Schizosaccharomyces pombe: one gene and its partner. The protein of the gene in region 2 binds, or shares a complex with, the protein of the main gene of each other region. Each region holds a gene or a part of one and is shown on either strand. Other genes may lie near its edges.

Evidence for each region.
Region 1: arc3 (region 2) and arc2 share a complex: the UniProt entries of both Schizosaccharomyces pombe proteins name them as parts of the arp2/3 complex.

Annotation. Positions count from the first base shown.
Region 1 is NC_003424.3:2,749,224-2,752,567, forward strand, and holds arc2 (ARP2/3 actin-organizing complex subunit Arc34), read right to left. Parts: upstream 1,760-3,344; 5' UTR 1,749-1,759; coding exon 1,687-1,748; intron 1,647-1,686; coding exon 755-1,646; 3' UTR 501-754; downstream 1-500. Other genes in the region: NuA4 histone acetyltransferase complex subunit Eaf6, read left to right, coding at 1-324; SPOM_SPAC6F6.11C (pyridoxine-pyridoxal-pyridoxamine kinase), read right to left, coding at 2,449-2,929, 2,989-3,106, 3,164-3,344. UniProt on the Schizosaccharomyces pombe protein: Functions as actin-binding component of the Arp2/3 complex which is involved in regulation of actin polymerization and together with an activating nucleation-promoting factor (NPF) mediates the formation of branched actin networks.
Region 2 is NC_003423.3:3,108,797-3,115,299, reverse strand, and holds arc3 (ARP2/3 actin-organizing complex subunit Arc21), read left to right. Parts: upstream 1-3,062; 5' UTR 3,063-3,095; coding exon 3,096-3,101; exon of another isoform or gene 3,102-3,147; coding exon 3,148-3,247; exon of another isoform or gene 3,248-3,327; coding exon 3,328-3,603; exon of another isoform or gene 3,604-3,699; coding exon 3,700-3,842; 3' UTR 3,843-4,100; downstream 4,101-6,503. Other genes in the region: pdk1 (serine/threonine protein kinase Ppk21/Pdk1), read left to right, coding at 1-839; SPOM_SPBC1778.09 (GTPase-activating protein), read right to left, coding at 1,332-2,576; SPOM_SPBC1778.07 (carnosine N-methyltransferase), read right to left, coding at 4,101-4,720, 4,838-5,339. UniProt on the Schizosaccharomyces pombe protein: Functions as a component of the Arp2/3 complex which is involved in regulation of actin polymerization and together with an activating nucleation-promoting factor (NPF) mediates the formation of branched actin networks.

The DNA of each region.
Region 1 (3,344 bases), on a different chromosome or scaffold from region 2:
CGACAATTGTTGGAAACTTCGTTAATAGGTCTCGAGGACTCTATCTATAGGCTGGAAGGCAGTTACTTAGAAAAAACATCGGGTACTGGCAACATTATTCGTGGATTCGAAGGTCTTTTAAAAAACAATGCATCAAACCTCCGCCGTCGTGCAGACTATTCGGAATCAGACAGACTGTTTTCTCTTTCTTCCCTGTCGAGTCCCCATACACGTAGTCCAGCTTATGACCTCGACGACTCGACAGAAACTAGTCGAAGAAGAAAACGAAAAAATGAATCTGATAGTCACGAAGGAAGAAGACGTTCTTCTTTTCGAGAACTATAATGTTACTCAGAAAACGGATATAAAGAATATACTTTAAATTTTATGAGGAAGTTCCTTTTTCGGAGCTTTTACAAATCAATTTGCGATTATTTTCTCCTTCTTCTAAGTATTTTGCAATAGCGCTACAAAATTACGGCTTAACTAGCTATTCAAAGTTTGTCCTTTAGAACAGTTACTATTTATGACTTGTATAATACAATTTTCATTTTCAAAAAATAAGCATCTCTTATGTAACGTGTGTATCTACAATCAAAGATTGATATTCCTGTATTTTGCGCTAGCATCATTTAATCAACCCAGCTTTGAATAGAAAAAAAGGGTGAGAAACAATTCACGTTTGTTACGAGGAGAGGGAAGCATGAAGCATATATAAAGATCATAACTACGTATGAAGATACGATGAAAGAAAGGATCAACATGGGACGGAACATTAAGCACGAACAAATGACCTACCAGTAGCTGTCTTTCTCTCCAATTCCACATCGGGCTTGGCCCGGTTCAAAACCTTTTGGAAGTCAGCAACACGCTTACGCATACGTTGGTGCATGTAAGCCTTGGAAGCCTTAATGTGAAAGTGTAGGGTGTTGCGGAAAACCTGGATATGAGATATGCAATCTTCACGATTTTGAGGTGTAAAATGACGCTCAAATAAAACGAATGTTACAAATCCAAAGTCATCACCCTTTTGAATACCCTGAATATCACGAATCTCCAAAGGTGGATCTCTATAGGAAAAGAGCACTTGAGGAGCGGTTTGAATAGCCGGACGGCGACGGGCATCAACGAATTCCTGCAAGAATACCTTGCCAAAGATGCGATCAGTCTCTTCACGGAATTTCGTTGAAAAGACGACTGTAACGCGATCATGCTCAGGCCATAAAACAATAGTTTCTTCATCACGATAATGAATTGCCATGAGCTCCTGAGAAGTGGCTTGCTTGTCAAGCATAGGGGCATTTTCCGGGTCTTTACGAGCCAAATCAGCTAGTTCGGCTTGTTTGGTGAATGCACGGTGGAAGGGAGCAGCTAAAACGTTTCTTTTTAACATAGAAATAGACATAGCTAATTGTTCTTTTTCCTCATCGGTAGCGGGAAGTTGTTGTAAGTCTATAAGAATACTGAAGTTGTATCCCATTTCAGGTTCATGCACATAAGCACCGTAAATCTGTTTCAGTAAATCCAGAGTACCGTAATTAACAAGCTCAGGATAGCATTTCATAGACAGACTGATCAAGATTTTCGTCTTTTCCTCAGGAGTTGAAATGTGGAACGTGACGCCATCAAAATCAGTTACCACTTGATCAATCGACGACGGGTTTTCGCTATAAATTAGTGAAATTCTTTATTGTTTGTTTCACATACCTTGAAAACCTTTCTGTCAGTAACTCGTAAATGAATATATTGTTATAATCTAATGAGAGCATGGTTGATGGTTAACGTGTGACGGACCCGGGAATTCTTATTACTCAGGTTCATATAGTGTTATAAATCCTTATACTGAGGCATCTGCAAACATGTAAGAAAACAACAGATCATATTAAAACCATGAACTCAATATATATTTTTAAAGAACTAACAATCTTTTTGTTCTCATTCTTTGTTCTAGATTACCTTTTGCTTCTTAGGTAAACTTCTACTATTTTACCGTCTATGGATATACTGAATATTTTATCTAAAATGTTAGAAATTAAAAAAAAAAAAAAAAAATTAATCAGTATATTAGGAGTTCTGAATCTAATTACTTTATCTAATTCGAAGTGTACCAATACATGGCTTTTATAAACCTTGGTTGCGAAATTTTGAAACCAGTCAACAGTCTTTAGGATATGGAATAAATAGTTATAAACTTCTAAATTAATTTCAATAAGCATTCTAATATAAAACATTGTATACTTCGCAAAAGAGAGGTATCGTAATGAACCTTTATTTAAGAGAAAAACAAACACCAAGTTAGCATGTAAAAAAGGCAAACGAAACAAGACACTGAAAAAATCTATATTTTGTGAATTTCACGTGCAATCCAAAAAAAGAAAGCGAAAAACGGATAGTAAAAAATCAACTTTGAAACAGCAGGCCTTGGTACAGTAAGGCCAACATATTTTAGACGCATAAAAGATCCGAAATTTAATAATAGTATACTGCTTCGAATAATTTGGATGGAGCTATTATGCTATTTTGACTATTAACTATGCAGAGTTCGGCATAAGCTGGGTGATATTCTTCAACACCTAATGCAGAAATTCGGTCGGCAGTTTTTTGGATCACTTCATGCACAGAACTAAGGGCCATTTCTACTGATTTCTTAAGTTTATCCTCCTTTATAGAGGCAAGGCTCTCAGTACAATCCGGGCTCTCAGCAATATGAGCTGCCATTAGTGCTGTAAATAGATCACCAGTTCCCCGAAATATCCCAGGAATCACGGGAATCAGAACAAAAAAACTTTTGGAATATATAGAAGATCCTATACAGTAGAGTTTTTCTACGCCGTTTTCTTCAACGACAAAAGATGAAATGACAACCCGTGGAACTTTATATTTTTGTTGTAGACATTCCACACATTTAAATGCTGTGTCGATTGAATTTATGCGCATCCCTGAAAGAATTCTAAGTAAAAGTCAGTGATTTTCAAACTCATTGCAGGATTGTTCCTTAAAAGTACTCACTCTGCTTCAAACCCATTAGGTGTAATTAAATCAGCAAAAGGGAGCATCTCTCTATACAGCGGGATAATGCTTTCTTCGACATAAAGCCTTCCATTATCTCCCAAAACTGGATCAAAAACTTTTTAGCGTCAGCATGTCAGTCTTCAAGGGAATTGGCAACTTCTAACGCACATACCCCAAAAAGCCTTCTTATTCTTGGATTTTACGGAGCGAACTATCTCCATTATTGCTTTTACACTTCCTATTCCACGGGCATATCCTGTCAACAAACATTCATAGCCACTGGGATTAGCTGCTGAAACACCCTTATACAAATCCAGAATTTGTTCTGCGCTTAAGGTCCTTCCTTTAACAAT
Region 2 (6,503 bases):
TAATGAGCCTGGAATATGAGCTTCCAAAGCTCTTACCACCTGATATCGTTCCTTTGTTTAGCCATCTTTTCCGTATTCAGCCATCTGATCGATCTACAACCCAACAAATAAAACAATTTCCTTTTTTTGCTACTATTACTTGGGACAATTTATGGACTCAAGATCCTCCTCCTATGCAGTCATTCCGGCCTAATTATAACATAGCCATTCCTAATGCTCCTGCTTATTATCGCTCAAATGTGACAGCCGCAGCTGCTGCTAATGCTGCCGCGGCATTTGCTTCTGCATCCATTGTAAAGCATCAGGAAACTGCTCGACGTCAGGAGCTTCCTACGGTAAATCGTTTCACTGCTCCAACTGCTCATTATGGCTATGCTTCACTTCGAAGCCATCAGATGCCTGTTGACAGACTTTATTACAAGTTGGTTCCATCGTCTGAGTCGATCATTGAATCTACCTCGGTCTTCGTATCACCCATTCCAAGTGTACCTGAGGGTAATAAGTTTCCATCTGGACTCTCAAAAATGTTTTTGAAAAGAAAGCAAAGGGTTATGCTATTAACTGATGTTGGTCGATGCGCTTTTGTTTGTAAAGGAAAACATGAGAGACTTTTTATCGAGATGGAGGTGAACTTGAAGGATTCCAGTGTTGTAGTGATTTTTGATGAAAATAGTTCCAAGCGATTCTTGATTGAAGATAAGGTCCAGTCCTGGATAATAGAAGACAGTTCCGGGGATGTCACCAAGTATAAAGACAAAATCCTTAAGTTTGCTGATGTTGCGTCTTCTCATCAATCTCGTTCTTCAGAAGAGAATGTAGAAGAGAACGAGGAAGAGTAACCCCATACCTTGTTTTATTTGATTTTTCAACCCATTTACTACCTTCTTTATATTTTATTATTTGTCGTCAGTGTTTTGGTAATATTTAACTATTTAAGCTATACATAATTAGAAATTACGACGCACCTAGGAAGTCGCAAGATGGAGAGGTATTATGTATACATATATATGTATAGTATTTATAATATATATACTTGAATTAATTTTATGTTAAAATTCCATTTCTTTTGGTGAGATGTTAAAATTATAATATTAGTAAGAAGAGAGAGTTAGATAGGATCGATTTAAAGCGCATACTCTTGATACCAATAAAAGTTTTGTGGTATCAAGGAAATAATGTTTATCAACGTTCCAAATTAAAACAGAAAAAGAAAATGATAAATGTTCAGGACCCATTATGCTAAGCTCTGTGATATCAATCCTCATCTTGTTGACATATGTTACATCATGTGGGCCACAATTAATAAAGCTATTAAAAAAGAGTTAGAAATATCAGTTTCTCTTACTTTTAGAAGAATTTTCAGAAGGCATTTTTTCCCAAAATAATTGAATTCTAGCAAGCAGGGCGTTATCGTTTTGAATGGGAATAACACCTGACAGAGCTTGCATTACTACTTCAAAGTCTGCATCAATTAGCGTGTCCCACATTCCTTGTATAACCGCAAGAGAAGTGGCTTGCAATAACCTGACAGTTTGACCTTTGCTTCCACCTAATAAAAACAGGAGATCCCATATACGTAATTGAGTATGGAAGGGCACGCATTGATGAAAAACAGTGAGATACCAACGTGTAGCAAAAGCAGATGGTTCTGCTCCAATTTCCGCCAGATGTCTGCCTGATTGTGTAAAACTTAACTCATGCTTAAGCATGTCAAAAGCCTTTAAAAGTGTATCAAACCCGGAAGAAAACAAGTCCCCCATGCCTCTATTTTCCAATAAATTTACCATCATTATAAATGCTTGTTCTTCGGGATAGTAAATGAGCAAGGTCGCAGCAATAGAAGCCATTCCTTGAACGTATCCAACACGAGGTATATAGAGAGCTACAGCATGAAGAACTCTAAATAGTAAACGTTGCCCTCCAATGTAGCGTTTTCGGAATAAGAAATGTGTAGCAGCTGTTCTGGGAACATCTAGGTCAATTTGAACATCATAGTCACAAATCTGCTCGTTCAATTGGTAATACTTGTCAATCAGTTTTTTATCAGGAAGAGAATCCACAAGAAAGGACCACCACGCAATAGATCGCCAACAATCTGGAATCCCCTTAAATGTACGTAAAATTAACTTACGAGTTTTTCGAAAAGAATGGAGCTGATTACCGGAAACGAGGTGTATTGAACACATCGATTTCCATTTTTGAATACGGGAAAGCTCTTTAGCTGATATTTCGTTGCGGTCATGCGACTCGCCGGGAACAACCATGAAGATGCTTTCATCAACGTACTTCAGCATGTCATCATGGCCGATTAATTTATTGCCAAGACGTTTGGCAGGGTTTGGTTTATCTAATGTTGGGTCTTTACTAACTTTATAGAACCCTAAATTATTAACATTAAAGTCTGAGCGATAGTTTCCGTAACGATCCACATTTTCCAATGACTCTTTTGTATCGATTTCTTGAACTTTTCCATTAATAGGTTCTGGTATATTTAAATTATTCTTGTCTTCTTGTAACCTGTACAACGACCGAATTCGTTGCAAATTGGTTGTTCTAGTTGGGGAAGGGTTTTCCATGCTCTTTCAGATATATCCTCAATTCCGTCACTCTGGAGAAAACAGATTACCTACTAAACTGTATTAAAATATCCAACACAGAAAGATTTAACAGGGGGGAATTGTTTCCGATGTAGTAATGTTTACGGTCCCAAAAGACCGTCTATCCCCATATAAGTCAGTACGTTAGATCCCAAAATCAAAATAACCAAACATGAAAATCTTTTTTTGACGTTTTTATAATTTTTCAAGCAATAAATGCATTCGTGCAAATGCTTATGAATTTGGTTCTCGCTACAAATTTATTGGCTCTATGTCATTTCCATTGATGAAAACTAGTTATAAAGTAGAGACCGAGACCCGATCACAAAACAAAAAAACGACACGCTATATTGCTTTACTGTAATTACATAGCTTTTCGCTATTTTGTTTAAAGAAAAGCTAATTTATCACTATTGATGCTTGACGAAATGCTCCCTATCGGCACATTCAGCAGGTGCTCAAGTTATCCAACAACATCATAAGCACTAGACATTAGATATGCCGGTATGTTCTAAAGTTTTGAATTTTTGTTGCTGACATGTTATGAAAGGCCTATCATTCCTCCTTCTTAAGTCTTACGGACGTCCCTACCACGGGAAACATAGCAATGCTGCCGTTGAAAACCAAGTTTCGTGGACCGGCTTATCCTGGTATGTTCCAGATATTTGTCAACTCTGTTTAAAGACTATTCTTAATGTTATTAGAGTACTTTCTAACATTTTTTATACAGCTGATGAGAGTCAAATGGATATTATTGATGAATGCATTGGGCTGTTTCGCGCCAATTGTTTCTTCCGCAATTTTGAGATTAAGGGACCAGCAGACCGTACTTTAATTTATGGAACATTATTTATCAGTGAGTGCTTGGGAAGAGTTAATGGACTCAATTATCGTGATGCTGAACGTCAACTTAATAGTTTAGCGTTGGAGAATTTTTCTATTCCTGGCTCTGCTGGCTTTCCCTTGAATGCATTATATGCTCCTCCCCTTTCTCCTCAAGATGCTGGTAAGATTCACCCAAACTGTGGCATTAGACATATAGATGTTTGTGCCGCTAATAGCTTTCTTGCTTTTTTTTTCATTTGCTAACTATTAAAAAAAGAAATAATGCGTACATATCTTACTCAATTTCGTCAGGAACTTGCTTATCGTCTTTTGTCCCATGTATATGCAACTGAAAAGGATCATCCCAGCAAGTGGTGGACTTGCTTCAGCAAGAGACGTTTTATGAACAAAGCTTTGTGAGTCTATTAATTAATAATTTGGCTCATACTGTATTTCAAAGCCTTTATGTTTTTCCGTTTCCTTTATTTCAAATGCGGCTTATAAAGTTTTTGAAGCGTACGAATGGCTTATTTAATGTAGGCAGTTTTATACGTAGATAGTAGATGCAAAAATAATCGCTTTACTTTCATGTACAAGTTATCAATTAGCTTTGTTAATTATGCTAAAGGAATATTTGAATGATTAAAGTCGTAATATTCAATGTTGGTTCAAAAATTTTTATTGAAATCGTAATTTTGATTTTTGCAAACGGCAGACCCAATAATGAGGATGGTATATCCATTCAAGCATACTTCGTTTGTCCCCCATATAAGTCGTGTCGACCGAATTGTGCTTTAAAACCTCAAATCCCATACTATCCATCACGTAAAACAGCTGCTCGAGAGTCAATTCAACGAAAGGTTGTTGCTGGCTATCACTGTTAGAATTAGAAGTACCTTCTGACTCAAAATGATACAATAAAGGCCCGAGATTTATCCAATAACCTCCATCTACCAAACAGTTTTTAATTGTATCCAAATAGTCCAGTATGTTTTTTGTAGTGTCTATAAAGAAGCAGGTAGCTACTACTTGAAACGAATCACGACTTTCTTCGGTGCCGTATACCTCCAGGAAATCCCCGGCTGCCATTGAAAAGTTTTGTGAATTCCGCAGATATTGAGAGGGAACTGCATCAGGAATATTTAATGAACGCACCTGGTCATCACGCATGACATGGTTCGAAAATGAATGAATATAAGGATACACAAGAAACTGATTTTCCTGCTTTACGCAATTCAGTATGAAATGCGACGTTAAAAGCATAAAATATGAGAACTCATTTCCTTGGCATGCAAAGCCTATTAAATGTTAGAAGCTATGTCCAAAAATCCAAATTTAGAAAGAAGTTAGAAAACATGTAATCAGATAAATAATAAATCATGCTATTTTTGATTGATAGTATCAAGTGTACCTACCTTCCACAGCTATATCAAAGGCCAATCTTCCTAAGCCGGAACCTGGAACAAGTACACGAATTTTAGATCTGTCTATAGAATCAGATGGGAAAAGTGAATTTAGTTCCTCGATGAAAGGAGCATATGTAGTACGGCGTTCCTCAACACATTCGGTCGACCAATCTCTCGCAATTTGCTTGAGAGTGCTTGAAACTTTTTGCATCATATCAACATTGACATGAAATAACTCATTTTGATCGAAATCACTGCAGAACACAGGAATGGCTGCGTTAGCGATTGCTTCAGCAAGCACGCTGTTCTGCTCGATACATTGATCAATCCTTGAAAGATGCTTTAAAAAATTGTTGTCAGAGTCCTGTAAGAGTAAGTCCTTGTGTTCAAAAGACAACCTGCTCATCGATTTTCTCTTCTGTTGTGTTATTGTATGAGCATATTGCCTGTACAAAAAGAACGCGCTTAAAACTTCTTTCAAAACTTTTACTTCTTCCTCATCATATTCCATAGTTTTTTTTGATGTTTCTGAGCTCTATCTAGACTTTAATATTTTTATCATCTAAGTCGCAATTTTGGCGTTGTGGAGAAGTTAAACCTCTAACTTGTTGCTTCATTGAAGTTGGAAGTGTTGAAGAAACCAATAAGTTAAGAATATTATGGTTAATATAATTATGTTTTATGTATTTCATTAGCTTTTCAAGTTATGTTTATATCTACTGTGTTTGATTGCAATATTGAATCATCTCTGCTGAAAATCCCTGCAACGCGGTGCCTCTATGAAAATAGTGTTTGCCTTTTGCAAAAATCCCATAGGTTTTATTTGGATAGTTGTCAGACAATATTTTACAACAGCAGCCGCAAAGGAAATTCACCATGCTTCAACAATACCGGAACAGCTAATCTTCTGAAGCATCGTTATAGTAGTATTGTGAGTTTTGTAGATTATAAGAAAATAATATAAGAGAATCTTGGTGCACGCAGTAATATCATACAATATTTATATTGCAGCTTATAAACGAGACTGGAAATACACGTGAAAAGGTAGTCAGGTTAAAAGTTTAACCCTGTGACATCTGGCTAATCTTTTATCCTATTGCGCAGTTAAAAGCGGGAATTACTTCTTTTTCTTATATTGTATCAAAAATTGTTGGCTTCAGTGACCTAAACCCTTGAACAAAAGAAAAAAAACACGAATTTTCACGGCCGGAAAAACTTTCTGCAACGTTTTACAAAGGATCTACTATCATAGTAAGTAGAAATTTTGGCTTCTTGACATATAGTACTAAGTAATTTTCAAGTCGATGCATCAGTTGACTTCAATTGAAAGAGCTTGCTAGTTTGTGATGTTTATGGCATTTGAATTCGGTAATATCGCTAATTTGATATGGACTTACGTTTAGCTTTTTATTCTGTAAAAAAAATTAAAATTCAATGTAGTTGATATCCCAGCTATATATTCAATCTAAAGCTACAACGCAAGACATCGTCAAGTAGTAAATTACTTTTTACAATTGCAAATTAACTTTTAACAGATTGGCTAAGCAAACGTGTATTAACTCATTTAGCGAGCGGATCAAAGTTTTGCTCTACGCTTCTGTAAGTATGATGTATGTGCATCAACAACACGACGTTAATCCTTGTCACGTAGCAACTGCAAGCCACCCAAAGCACA